Linked DNA regions of Arabidopsis thaliana. The protein of the gene in region 1 purifies or fractionates together with the protein of each later gene. This does not show direct contact. Each region holds a gene or a part of one and is shown in the gene's direction. Other genes may lie near its edges.

Region 1 (6,784 bases):
TTCACCTGAAGAAACTGCACATCCGGGTTCATCTCTGCAAACTGACATATCTGCAACAATCATAAACCATCATTGTTAGAAAACTTGTTCATTTCATCAATACTGTACCAAACAATCCAAGAAGTGGATTGATACCTTAGGATGGAGAGCCTTGCAGCCACCACAGCCAGGTGAGAAGAAATCAACAACAACAAGCTTATCACCAGCGTTAGTAAGAGAATCAACGAGCTCTTGAGCTGAAGAGATCTCTCTCATGTTATCTTTCAGACCTTTCTCCCACCACTTCTGAGCTGTCCCAATCCTCAAAGTTGTCTGCAAATTTACACATGTCAGATATCATATTTTCACAGATCCATAAAACCAACACATCAAATTGAAAACACATGAACCCTAAACCAAAATCTACTCTTCAAGCCAATAATTCACAACAAAATTAAAGCAAAACCCTAAAAAACTATTCTTTCAACAATTAGCTCTCAGGATCTTTCTAATTAGATCTCGCATGTAATGGATTATAATATTTCAGATAAACAAAAACGAAAACACAAAACATTAAAGTCTACCTGAGCTGTGATAGCTGATGATCTTCTGAAGCTCTCGTCTTGAGAATCTCCGAAAACGATCTGTTTTCCGTAAAATACACTTCTAAGAGGCTTCTGACTCTTAAGCTTCAGACAAGAGAAACTCTTTTTCAAACCAAACCCACCAAAACTCACCGGAGAGAAAGAGAAATCATCAACACGGTGATGATTACCACAAGCTCCTAAGAACAAACTCGTTTTGCTAATCACTTCCGTCATATTATTCTCTAATCAGAAGAAAAAACAATATCTGTCTCCAGAATATACCAGAAGAAAAAGAAAAAGTTCTCACAGAGACGACGTGTCTTCTCAGCAATCTTTAGTCGCCAGCGAAGTTTCGCTTTCTTTCTCAGGAAAAATTAGCTTCACGAGAAAATTTATAATCGAAAAAAAAAAGTTTAAAGGAAAGAGAAAAAGGCCTCAAGGTTAGACATTTCTGGACAGGAAACTGTTTTCTTTTTCGTTAAGTGATCTTGACCGTCCATTTTGGATTTGGAATTTTAAGATCTAACGGTGGATTAGTGATTATCAGGTTTAGTCGGTCAGAAGAAAACTAATAAATGGATAAGGTTCATGACTTCTCGCAGATATAAAGGAACAAGTATAGGAAATTTTCTCATGACTTTGAATACATTTAAATGGATATGTTTGGTTTTTTACCATGCTTTTATCTGAATACAGAGTTTTAACTATGTTAAGTGGATATATATTATTTTGAAGAGTATGTTTAGCCAATTTAAGTAACGAATTTTAAATTTACCTATATTAATATTAAACAAATGGATTATATAGGTCATGAACCAAACAATTTTGAGAAAAATAAATGATACAGTTTCATCCTCAAACATTTATCAATCAAGTAAACAACAAATTAGGCGATGAACCACCAAAATGAAAGATTATTACTTTATTAGTCATCTGCAATCAACTAGTGAAGGATTTTACTACCAAACAAAAGAAAAAAAAGTAGTGATGGATAAATGGATTTGGATTTTAAGGAAGATAGTTTGCCAACACATCACCCACGTGGGTCTCACTCTCTCCACCACAACTCTCTCCTTTAACCTTTTTTATGAACTTTATATTATTGGAGATTTGCAATTGCCACCTCTTTAACAAAATAATTGGAGATTGCCCTTTTTAGTTTTTTGGTTTACATCTAACCCCCTCAATTCCACATTGCACAAGTTTTCGATCGATTCACGACAATAAGTAGAACAAACGTAACAAATGTGACTAGAGTTGAACAGCCAAAACAATCGAAGCAACTTTATTTTAATGTAAAACAAGCGTTATGTAATATTTTTTTGGGCGGCAAACAAATTTACTATATTTAATTACAAAAACAGAATAATTTTTTAATTAGAAAACAAAAAGTTTAAACAAAACAAATGTGACGAATGTAGAATAGACAAAACAATCCTAACAAATTTGTTTTAATGTAAAACAAGCGTTACGTAATCTATATATTTTTGTCGGTAAACTAATACTATTTTATAACCATGAAACGTTACAAAATTTAGTACATACTAACGTTATAGTAATGTAGTGACACAGTTTTTAAAAACATTTTTCAAGCATTACAGAATAAATATTGAATTGCGACTACAATAAATATTATTAAATTATTTTTTTATTCGAATATCATAAGGAATTTAATGTGATTAGTCAAAATTTTGGGTATTATTAAGTTTATAGAGATATGATGTACATTTTATTTAAAATTTGTCTACGATATTGAAACAATTTTGAAAATATTACAAGAAAAATAAAAACTGATTTCAAGTTTAGAGACCAACAAGCTAGTGGAGATGTTTTATTGGAGAGTCGTTTACATACGAAATTAGAATTAAAATATTATATATTTGAAAATATCCTAATAATTTGAATGGTTCAACTAAGGTGTATCGTAACAAAAGAAACTATACCATAAGTTTTCCAACATAAAAAACAAAACACAAGAACCACAATTTTTGTATAAATGGTGACAAATGTGCAGCTAAGAACACCTCTTCTTTGCTTTCGTAAATCGTCACCAATGATGATTTGTCGACAAAAGCGATGTCATACACATAATTACAATTTAGTCCCTATATTTTCTTCTCAGTTTCGATATCTTTAAAGCTGTCTCAATCACACACGTCGGCACTAAAACATACATCTAATTACAATTTAGTCCCTATATTATTTTAAAGTTTCGAAAGAAATTCACATGAATTTAAAAATAGATTTGAAGAAACAGAAACAGATAGACAAATGGACGACAACGGATACATCGCCAAAATATAGCCGTTGGGGCGAAGAAATCACAGTAACGGCTAATTTCTCCTTTTTCTTATATTAGAAAGAAAGCTTTCTCTCATCTCACAAATCGCTAATCAAATTCTATAGTAAGCTTTACTTCACACTACTCTCTCACTTTCTGGGCAGAAACTTTGTGGATCTAGAAGAACACACTAATCAGAAGAGTATGTTGTATTTTCTTTGATTTTCTCTTGTTTGATTCTGTTACAATCACTGCGATTCTCTCTGATTCTTGTAAAATTGTTGACTTTCAGGTGAAAAAGATGAACGACTTGATGACGAAATCGTTTATGAGTTACGTTGACTTGAAAAAAGCAGCGATGAAGGATATGGAAGCAGGACCTGACTTTGATCTTGAGATGGCTTCTACGAAAGCAGACAAGATGGATGAGAATCTGTCATCTTTCTTAGAAGAAGCAGAGTATGTGAAAGCAGAGATGGGTTTGATTAGTGAGACGCTGGCTCGGATCGAACAGTACCATGAAGAGAGTAAAGGTGTTCACAAGGCAGAGTCTGTGAAGTCTCTTCGTAACAAGATCTCTAACGAGATTGTGTCTGGTTTGAGGAAGGCGAAATCGATTAAGTCGAAGCTGGAAGAGATGGATAAAGCCAACAAGGAGATTAAAAGGCTCTCTGGGACTCCGGTTTATAGGAGCAGAACCGCTGTGACTAATGGGCTGAGGAAGAAACTTAAGGAAGTGATGATGGAGTTTCAGGGGCTGAGGCAAAAGATGATGAGTGAGTACAAGGAGACTGTTGAGAGAAGGTACTTCACTGTCACTGGAGAACATGCTAATGATGAGATGATTGAGAAGATCATCACTGATAACGCTGGAGGTGAAGAGTTTCTCACGCGAGCAATTCAGGAACATGGTAAAGGAAAGGTCTTGGAAACTGTGGTTGAGATTCAAGACAGGTATGATGCAGCAAAGGAGATTGAGAAGAGTCTGTTGGAGCTTCACCAAGTGTTTCTTGATATGGCTGTGATGGTTGAATCGCAAGGTGAACAGATGGACGAGATCGAGCATCATGTGATTAATGCGAGCCATTACGTGGCTGATGGAGCTAATGAGCTGAAGACTGCAAAGAGTCATCAGAGAAACAGCAGAAAATGGATGTGCATTGGTATCATTGTGCTGCTTTTGATCATTCTCATTGTTGTCATCCCCATCATTACCAGTTTCAGCTCTTCTTGAGATACTGGCTATGTTCACTCCTTTTGTTTTGTTTCGCTCTTCTTTGTACCAATGGATGTCTTAATCCTTTTGTGTTCTTCAAGGATGTCTTAATCCTTTCGTGTCTTGTATCCAATTTCAATGAAATGGTGAATGTTTACAAAGATACCCAGTTGACTTAATCCTCTTGATCATTCTAAATGTTGTCATCCCCATTGTTAACACTTTCAGCTCTTCTTGAGGTACTATGTTTACCAATCGTTGTTTGTTTCGCTCAAAGGATGTTTAATCCTTGTGTTTTCTGTATCCAATTGTTATGGAATGATGATGACTGTGTACAAAAATATTACTTTATATGAACCGAACACAGTATGTATAATATAGTTTGTACAACAATGGTGGTTCTTGTTTCTACCTGACCTTCCTGATTGGCAAAGCTTTCCCAAACAATTTTTCAACCTCACTTGCTTCCATTTTGATCTCATCCAAAAACTCCATCTCTTCTTTACTTAACTCTCTCACGAAATTCTCCTCGTCTTGCTTCAGTTCATTAAATCCTTCAGCCAATCTCTGGAACAAGGTCATCTCAGTCCTACCGACCTTCTCCACTTCCTTCTCTACCTCTTCTTCTATCTCTTCAACCTCTTTTACGATTATCCTTTCACCTTCTTCCACTGTCTTCTCAATTCTCTCCACGAGCGCAGGTTCAGGACCACATGTGTTATCCGTTCTAATGAATGTGCTGAAGTCTCTGCCTATGCTTTTTGCTGCTTTTTCGAGTTCTGGTATAATGCTATTGGGTAATACAGAACTTCTCGTGTATACAACTGCACCACCATATCCATCCCAAGCATCGTTTCGCCCACGGTAGTATACAAATATATAGTCTTCAGGTTTATTCTCTATCTTTGATGACAGGATATACCTGCAAAAATCATATGAAAGCTTGTTAGGCCAAAGAAGAATAGCAGCACTATCAAGACTCTCCCTCGTGGGTGGATACAAGATGTTATTACCAGTCATCTTGATAGTGAAGGTACTCGTTGTCATGATTGTAGAGAACACCAGGTTGGTTAGGATCTTGCACGAATTTTTGTACGGCTGACCTAGTAAAGAATCCACTGTCTAGGGTCTTTATTCTCCAAGAGATGTTTCCAACAAGCTTGTTGTCACCTTCTGTGTGGAACTCATGCAGCTGGCAGTCGAAGGCATCAAAGGTTGGATTCAAGCCACTTGTAATGTACCACTTCCCGTTAAAGTCCGAGATGTTGAAGTTCTGTACAAGAACAGAAGGGTCTGGGGCAGGAAATTCTCCGAGATCAGATTTTCTAGGAACACACTTTTTTCTCGACACAGCACACTCGTTGAACTCATCAACAACACTGTTCTCAAACAGATCCCCACATTTAATCTGATATAATATAAGCACATAATTATAAACAAAATCATTGGTCTTCTTTCATAAGCAAGCAATATCTCTGCCTCATAAAATGATATATCAAAATAAATTATAACCTGGCACTCGGTTTCATCTGGACGGTTATTGCAGGTCTGAAGGCACGCGACATTGGCTGCACAGGCAGGGTTGGCAATGCACTTTGCGAGTTCTATCCTAACAGATAATTGGGCTTCCATATGGTCAGACAAGGAGGGAAATATATAAATTGACGGCAAAAAAATCAGAAAGATATCATCAACTGATTTCAGCTCTATCATAGACAGACACAGTAACTTCATCTAGCTTTAACATTCTCAACAATTGAAGAGTATGGAGCTATACAATTCAAAACACTTATAGCATCACAATCACAATGAAAATAAAACCGGTTTTGGTGGGGGGACACTATATATGCAGAATCCAAACGAAGGAAAGTTACCTGCATCCCTTCAATAAGCATGCACAAGTTTTAAGTGCATCAACTGCATCTGCAGATGGAACAATAAGGAACGCGCAAGCTAAAACACCCACGAGTTTTAGCAACAGCGGAGCGGTCAGCTCTTTCAGCTCATTCTTTGATGGTAATGGCACAATGTCAAATATCCCCTGACATGATCAAAAGCAATGAGATCATCGAAATACCAAATTTTGTATTGAAACACAAGACTAGTATGATTGATTACCTTAGAGAATCCTGACCTGAATGCAGATAAAGGACGTGAGGATCTCCCACCAGTTGTTCTGAGATCAGCACTTTGGATTGGAGGTAAAATCTTGAGCAAGAAAGTGCCATTGATCCTCTTTCTTGTAATGCCAAGCCTACCAATACCATCATCACTTGAGAAAAATCGAATACGGTCATGACAAGGTGAAGTGAAACAATGTGTAGCTACTGCCATTCTTCACACTATCTAATCTTCCCCACACCAAGCAATACCTGAGTATACATAATTAGCACATTACTCTCTTTTATCCCAGATAACAAATCATGAACAATAAAATTGAGTTTGATTATTCGAAATGAGCTAACTATTGATTACAAAAAAAAAAATACGGAACCAGGAATCATAAAACGTTGGCAAAATTTGTGATTTCAGTTCGTAGACATGAATCGAACACAATTCTCAAGCAAGGAAAAACAGAATAAAGCTGAAAGATTGTGATTTTGGGTGTTGAAAAGGAAAAATTGATAATATGATATCAGAGTTAGTGAGAAAGAGAAACGATGTTACCAAACAAAAACTGAAAGCTCCGCGGGAAGAAGAGAGACAGAGACAGAGCCGGAG
Region 2 (7,335 bases), on another chromosome or scaffold:
CTAGTATTAGTCAATAACGTGTGTTTTAAATTTCAGCTTGTTGACCCGAAGACTGGTGATGAGAAACCCATTACAGTTTCTGTTGATGATGGTATCCGACCAACCACAACTCTTGCTTCTCTTGGGAAGCTGAAGCCAGTGTTTAAGAAGGATGGCACCACTACTGCTGGTACTTTTCCCGAATCAATTGTTTCATTATGGAAACCACAGTTCTTATTATCACAATTTTAAATCCATTGCTTCATTTGTTCTGTCGCAAACAGGAAATTCCAGCCAAGTAAGTGATGGTGCAGGAGCGGTTCTCCTAATGAAGAGAAGTGTTGCAATGCAAAAAGGACTTCCCGTTCTTGGTGTATTCAGGTGGGTAATAATTACTTACAAAGCTACGACTGTGGAAGTCTGAAAACCGAAAAAACTGCAGAGGCTTGTGATTTCCATTTACACAGATATGCTAGTATACGTGGAAAATACATTGTTCTTTCTGTATTTGGCTTTTTCTAAGTAGCACACTATTGGACATATTGCAGGACATTTGCTGCAGTTGGTGTTGACCCTGCAATCATGGGTATCGGTCCAGCAGTTGCCATTCCTGCTGCAGTTAAGGCGGCTGGTTTAGAACTTGATGACATCGACTTGTTTGAGATCAATGAGGTATATAGCAAACAATTTCATGATCTTCTTATCACATATCTCTTCCCGCACATTCTGATGATGACCATCTGTTTGAATCCTTGTGTGTTCAGGCATTTGCATCTCAGTTTGTTTATTGCCGTAACAAATTGGGACTTGACCCAGAGAAAATCAATGTCAACGGAGGTGCAATGGCCATAGGCCATCCTTTGGGCGCTACAGGTATATCTGTTAAGAACAGGACTAAAACTGTTAAGCTTGTTCCAATTTACCAAACCATAGAGACTTGAATTAATGAGAATCTCTCAACTCTCAACCAAACCTTAAGAAATCCACAGCCGAGATATATCTTTATAAACTCTGTCCTCACTAATGGTTCTTTAACCAACTTACAAGAGCTCTATCTTGCCGCAGTCCGTCCTTTTCAAAGCATATCAATGTCTACATTGTGTCTATATAATTATAAAACGCTCATGAACAGTTGCTAATACTTGTTAAAACTCTCACAGGAGCGCGTTGTGTTGCTACATTGTTGCACGAGATGAAACGCCGTGGTAAAGACTGCCGTTTTGGAGTAGTGTCAATGTGCATTGGTATGCTTCTCACTCGAATAATTCATTGTGAATTTGGTGTCTGAAATATGTGTCTGAGGGATGGTTTTACTGATTTGGTAAACTCTGGCAGGGACGGGGATGGGTGCAGCAGCTGTGTTTGAGAGAGGAGATGGAGTTGATGAGCTTCGCAACGCAAGGAAAGTTGAAGCGCAAGGTCTTTTGTCCAAGGACGCTCGCTAGAGAGGACCATGCACCAAAACCGTTTTTCACCTCACCTCTCTCTTTTCTGGTCTTCTTGTCACTTTCTTCAGATATTATTATAGTTTCGAATAAAGCACACAACCAATGTTTGCCTGAGTCTTGTGTTGTTCTTGACCAGGTCATGTGTTTAGTATTTTTTTTAAGTGAAGGGGGATAATCTTTAAATCTTTTATATGTAAGAATATTGTTCTTCTCGAATTTCATCAGTTGTTGCTTCTAGAAATTTTAGATTTTTTGGGTGGCAGCCATTTCTATATTTCGATGGATAAGTCAAACGTTCATAAAGTCAAGGGTTCTGCCTTTTGTTTGTGTTTCATGATTTTACCTTGAATTTCATTAACTAAAACAGTGTTAATAGTAACAGTTGGGGTGGTGGCGCAGTTGGCTAGCGCGTAGGTCTCATAGCTACTGAGTGATCCTGAGGTCGAGAGTTCGAGCCTCTCTCACCCCATAATTTTATTTTCTCATAGCTATTTATATAACGTTCCTTCTAGTATTTTTTTTTCTTTTCGTTATAGTATCTTGTCTTTGATACCGGAGACGTTATAACGGCAGTATAAGACGTTATAATCATGTTCCAATGCATCCCCTCAGTTTTGTGTTAAAAACGAGCCATCAATGTTATCATATATGGAAATCATTATTGAGGCTTTGACCAATTAATTATGCGAATTGACCGACTTTGATCACTATACAGAGCAAAACAAATCCACTGAATCATTTATTTGTGTAGGTTCATCTTTTTTGGGCACCGTATTCATTTCTTATTCCATGAATTTGACGGAGTAATTTTGATTTTCTTTTTCGAGTAAGAATCTGGTCAAATATTCGATGAACCTCTACAAAAAAAATTAACCTCTATAAAAGTGTAGATTAACCAAGTGTTTCATCACAAACCATTTCAACGTAAACGAAACAACAACTACTACTCTCAACTTTACACTCTCTTGATAAGTCTCGATGATGAATAACATGAAGCTCTTGATCATCGCTGTGATGATCATCTCGGCAGCTTTGCTTCCAGCGCTTGTGGTCGGATCTCGTCCGGTAAAATGTGACAATTGCATGGACGGTGGAGAAAAAGAAGAGATCATGAAGATGAGTTCAGGTGTAGATGTGAGCCATAGGATACTTCAAGCTAAGAGATTTATAGATTACGAAGCATTGAAGAAAAACTTACCAGCCAAACCAGATGGTAAACCGGATAAACCGGATAACAAATACCGACGTGGTTGCAGTGCCGCTACAGGATGTTACCGCTTTACAAATTAAACATAAACCACCTCTCTCTTCTTCTTCTTCTTCCTTTCGTTGGTGTGTTTTATTTTATTTTTAATTAGTATTTCCAATCACATTTCTTATTATTATATTTTATTGCAATTTGTAAGCCTTTGAGGCATTATCTCCTAGAGAGTTAGAATAAACTTCGTTTAGAAATTGTCATCCTTTTCTCACCAAATGATTGACGAGTGAAAATTGATCTCATCGTAAAGTATTTTTGCGGTCAAGTTCAAACAAATTGATCCCTTCTCTCGCACCATATTCTTGTTTTATTTTATTTAAACGATCGATATATTTCCAAACCATTCCTCCAAAACTATCACACATTCACACCTACCAATTTCAACTTTAAATACAAAATATAGTCTTGTTGTAAATATAAGATACACTTTAGAAGTGTACACGTGAAATTCAGGTATATATATTACAATAGTAAGCAACCTCTAAGTACAATTAAATCAAGAAAAAAATAGATTTGAATTAATAGGAGCGGACATGGGATGCATGTAGAATTGTAGATTATCATTTATTATGGTGACTAGACCATTGAACTTTCCTATAACTTTGAAAATATTCTTATTTAGTCATTTAATTTAGATTACACCAAAACCCCAAATATGCCAAATTTTCTACAAATACCCCAAAAAAGACAATTTATAAAATTATTATCCAACCACATGTAATAATCTTTGATGACTTTTAAGTTTTAAATTTTAATAGTAGATTTAGATAATATAGGAACCAATTATTCAAAGGTCAAAGTTCAAACTAGCTTATCCAAATTCATTTTCGCTGATAAAAATACGTTGAAACTATCAAATAACAAAATACCATTACACCAACATCACCAACTTTTTAAAACCCCACAAGTTGATTATTTGAATTTGCTTTTAGGTCCTCAAGTTCAAGATTGTTTCAATTTGCACAATCTGCATAAATCTTTCTGAAATATAACTTTTTTGCCCTCTAAAACTCAAGGGTTTGATTTTTCTTCTTCAACTACGTTAAGATTTCTCCTACACTTTTCTTTTTCACCGTATTCTCTTTTAGTCCTCGATTCTCTACGCGTTTCAGCGTCAAGTCTTCTAGATCTCTAAAGCCTTCGTGCTCGCCAATATAAATCTCTGAGATCGGTCCCGTAAAATCGGATTCGCGTCGTTTTTGAGTAAAAAAAATGGCGCAACAATCGTTGATCTACAGTTTCGTCGCTCGTGGTACCGTTATCCTCGTTGAGTTCACAGATTTCAAAGGCAATTTCACATCAATCGCTGCTCAGTGCCTTCAGAAGCTTCCTTCTTCTAACAACAAGTTTACCTACAACTGCGATGGTCACACGTTCAATTACCTCGTCGAAAATGGATTCAGTGAGTCAAAATATTGCTCGATCTGTAAGCGTAGCTTGTTTGTGTTTTGATTTATCCATTGTTTGAATTAGATTTTTTGCCTAATTGAGAAATATGAATCGAGTTCTTATGTTTGGTATAGTTTCCAGTAATAATTATGTATTGGCGTTGATAATTAATTGATGTTAGATCTATGGTAATCAGTGATATTTTTGGTGGATCTATCAATGAATATTTGCAATTTTTGTTCTGGATCTATTGATTCTTTGCTTATTTGCGTGTAGCTTTCGATATCATGAAGTTTTTGGCATTAGTGTATTGTGTTCTTTATGTAACTCTGTTTTACTAAACCTAATTGGGTTTTGGGTGATGTTGATGGCGGATATGGTCTCTTTATGATAGTGTTAACTTTCTTATCAGCGATATATTGATGAATCTATTGCTTTATCTCTTAATATAGAGTTTAAAATGGACCGGTTTTGTTTTCGTTTGTGCAGCCTATTGTGTTGTTGCAGTTGATTCTGCTGGGAGGCAGATTCCTATGGCTTTCTTGGAACGAGTTAAGGAGGATTTCAACAAGAGATATGGTGGTGGAAAGGCTGCAACTGCTCAAGCAAACAGCTTGAATAAAGAATTTGGGTATGTGTTTTTTGATCTCTTTGATTGGTATTGAAAAGGGTCTATGATTCATGGGCATAGTTATTGATGGACTTCTTTTTGGCTTCTCTAAAGGTCGAAACTGAAAGAGCATATGCAGTATTGCATGGATCATCCTGATGAGATTAGCAAGCTTGCTAAGGTTAAAGCTCAAGTGTCTGAAGTTAAAGGTGTTATGATGGAAAACATTGAGAAGGTTTGATTCTGACCCTTTTTTCTTTTTATCGATATAGTTTTATGTTGTAAACCTTTTCGAACAGAGTTCAGCTTGTATGACTTTAGTACCAGGATCTTATGATTCGTAAAGCATAAACTGTAGAGAGGAATGTTTTATTCTCGGTTGTGAAGACATATTCTGTTGTTAACTCGTTTATGCATTCGTTTGCAGGTTCTTGACCGTGGTGAGAAGATTGAGCTTTTGGTTGACAAAACAGAAAACCTTCGCTCACAGGTTTGTTTTCTAAATGGTTCAAAGTCAATAGACCCACACAGAGACATGCAAGAGTTTGCAGCTTTCTCTTACTGATTGTTGTTTCTTGGGTTTCTAACTTTAAATTTGAACTCGACTTTATCACAGGCGCAAGATTTTAGAACACAAGGAACTCAAATGAGAAGAAAGATGTGGTTTCAGAACATGAAGATAAAGCTCATTGTCCTTGCAATTATCATTGCCTTGATTCTCATCATCATCCTCTCAATTTGTGGGGGATTCAACTGCGGTAAATAAGTCTGGAACATTTCTTCCCGGCGTTATCGACTGCGCTCTGTGCTTCCCAAGATCTCTGAGAATATCTTCATTCAGTTCGTTGTGCTACCTTTTTGTTTTGTTTTTGTTTTTGTGATTTCTATATTCTCATACTATATGTTTCTTCTTAGATTGTACTTCTTGAAATTTGTTTTGTATAGGCTATATATATTATACATATATGTATGCATGTTCGACAATCTGCAATGTTGCTATTGCTGGTACTGACACTAATTCTTGCAAACCAATATTTGGACGATACTTGTTCTTGGCAATTTACTAATTTCTTTGGTCTGTTGATGAGACTCTAGTTGCGGATTGCAGTGAGGTATAAGCATAGTCCACAGCCGGTTAATATTAAATGGAGATGAATATGTAATTAACACGGTTTCGTCTGACCGATTCACCAGAGTCTCCGGTTAGTTCATTAAGGGTTTGCTCAAACGCTTTCTCCTCTGCTTCCCTAATTTCGGAAACATTCGCCTGATTTTCTGAGATTTTGGAATTTCTTCGAATTGATTGCCATGCTGAGCTCAAGATTTCGACTGCTGAAATCGAGGCGACTTGCGGAGCCACCTCCGGCTGATGTCGCGGTTATGTGTATTTGCAGGAAATGAAAGTGATCTCCTTATTGCGGCAAATCAGCCACTTCCTGTCGACTAAAACTGTGGTGCAGCATGTAAGAACAAATGCAAGTTCGGACAAACGTGTTGTCTTGGTCAGTGGTTTTACTTGGCTTAGTCTTCGATTCTCTACGCGTTTCAGCGTCAAGTTTTCTAGATCTCTAAAGCTTTCGTGCTCGCCGATATAAATCTCTAATATCGGTCCCGTAAGATCGAATTAGATTCGCGTCGTTTTTTAAGGAACCAAAATAATGGCGCAACAATCGTTGTTCTACAGTTTCATCGCTCGCGGCACCGTAATCCTCGTCGAGTTCACAGATTTCAAAGGCAATTTCACATCTGTCGCTGCTCAGTACCTTGAGAATCTTCCTTCCTCGAACAACAAGTTTACCTACAACTGCGATGGTCATACGTTCAACGACCTCGTCGAAAATGGATTCAGTGAGTCAAAATATTGCTCGTGATGTGTTTGTGATTGTGTTTTCGATTAGTCGATTTATTCATTGTTTGGATTAGATTTCTTTTTACCTAATTGAGCATTTGAGAATCGAGTTCTTATGTTTGGTATATCTCTATGACTTATCTGAGTCGAGTTCTTATGTGTTTACCGTTTGGTATAATTTCAGGAATAGTTATGTATTGGGTTTGATAATTAATTGATGTTAGATCTATAATCAGTGATATGTTTGGTGGATCTATTTAAGCATCTATGCAATTCTTATTATGAATCTATGATTCTTGGCTTCTTTGCGTGTAGCTTTTGTTTTCATGAATTTGGCTGGTTTTTCAAATGAGAGTTGTTTGGGAAATTTGTGGATATATATCGCTCGAGTAAATTGCATTGGTGTATTGTGTTTATTATATTGCTCTGTTTTAATTAAACTTAGTTGGGTTTTGATGACGTTGGATATGGTCCATATCATATGGACTCTTTATTATATTTTTTAAGTTTCTTATGAGGGATATGTTTGTGCAGCCTATTGTGTTGTTGCAGTTGATTCTGCTGGGAGGGAGATTCCTATGGCTTTCTTGGAACGCGTGAAGGAGGATTTTTATAAGAGATATGGTGGTGAAAAGGCTGCAACTGATCAAGCAAATAGCTTGAATAAAGAATTTGGGTATGTGTTTTTTGATCTATATGATTGGTATTGAGAAGTTTGTATTATTCATGTCAATGACAGACTCCTTTTTGGCTGCTCTAAAGGTCGAATCTGAAAGAGCACATGCAGTATTGCATGGAT

The links.
Region 2: the proteins of SYP111 (region 1) and SAR1 purify together in Arabidopsis thaliana (affinity purification with western blotting, with the first as the bait; one study listed by BioGRID). This does not show direct contact.

What each region holds. Positions count from the first base shown.
Region 1 is NC_003070.9:2,707,075-2,713,858, reverse strand, and holds SYP111 (syntaxin of plants 111), read left to right. Parts: upstream 1-2,858; 5' UTR 2,859-3,049; intron 3,050-3,139; 5' UTR 3,140-3,148; coding exon 3,149-4,081; 3' UTR 4,082-4,334; downstream 4,335-6,784. Other genes in the region: ACHT4 (atypical CYS HIS rich thioredoxin 4), read right to left, coding at 1-50, 136-312, 564-800; NPQ1 (non-photochemical quenching 1), read right to left, coding at 4,472-4,985, 5,077-5,471, 5,576-5,672, 5,938-6,104, 6,182-6,397. UniProt on the Arabidopsis thaliana protein: Involved in cytokinesis. Acts as a cell plate-specific syntaxin, required for the fusion of vesicles at the plane of cell division.
Region 2 is NC_003071.7:14,041,903-14,049,237, reverse strand, and holds SAR1 (synaptobrevin-related protein 1), read left to right. Parts: upstream 1-3,694; 5' UTR 3,695-3,900; coding exon 3,901-4,114; intron 4,115-4,566; coding exon 4,567-4,708; intron 4,709-4,801; coding exon 4,802-4,922; intron 4,923-5,114; coding exon 5,115-5,177; intron 5,178-5,303; coding exon 5,304-5,453; 3' UTR 5,454-5,779; downstream 5,780-7,335. Other genes in the region: PKT3 (peroxisomal 3-ketoacyl-CoA thiolase 3), read left to right, coding at 37-169, 264-360, 528-651, 744-852, 1,140-1,223, 1,315-1,424; RALFL18 (ralf-like 18), read left to right, coding at 2,406-2,717; VAMP723 (vesicle-associated membrane protein 723), read left to right, coding at 6,346-6,535, 7,071-7,212, 7,299-7,335. UniProt on the Arabidopsis thaliana protein: Involved in the targeting and/or fusion of transport vesicles to their target membrane.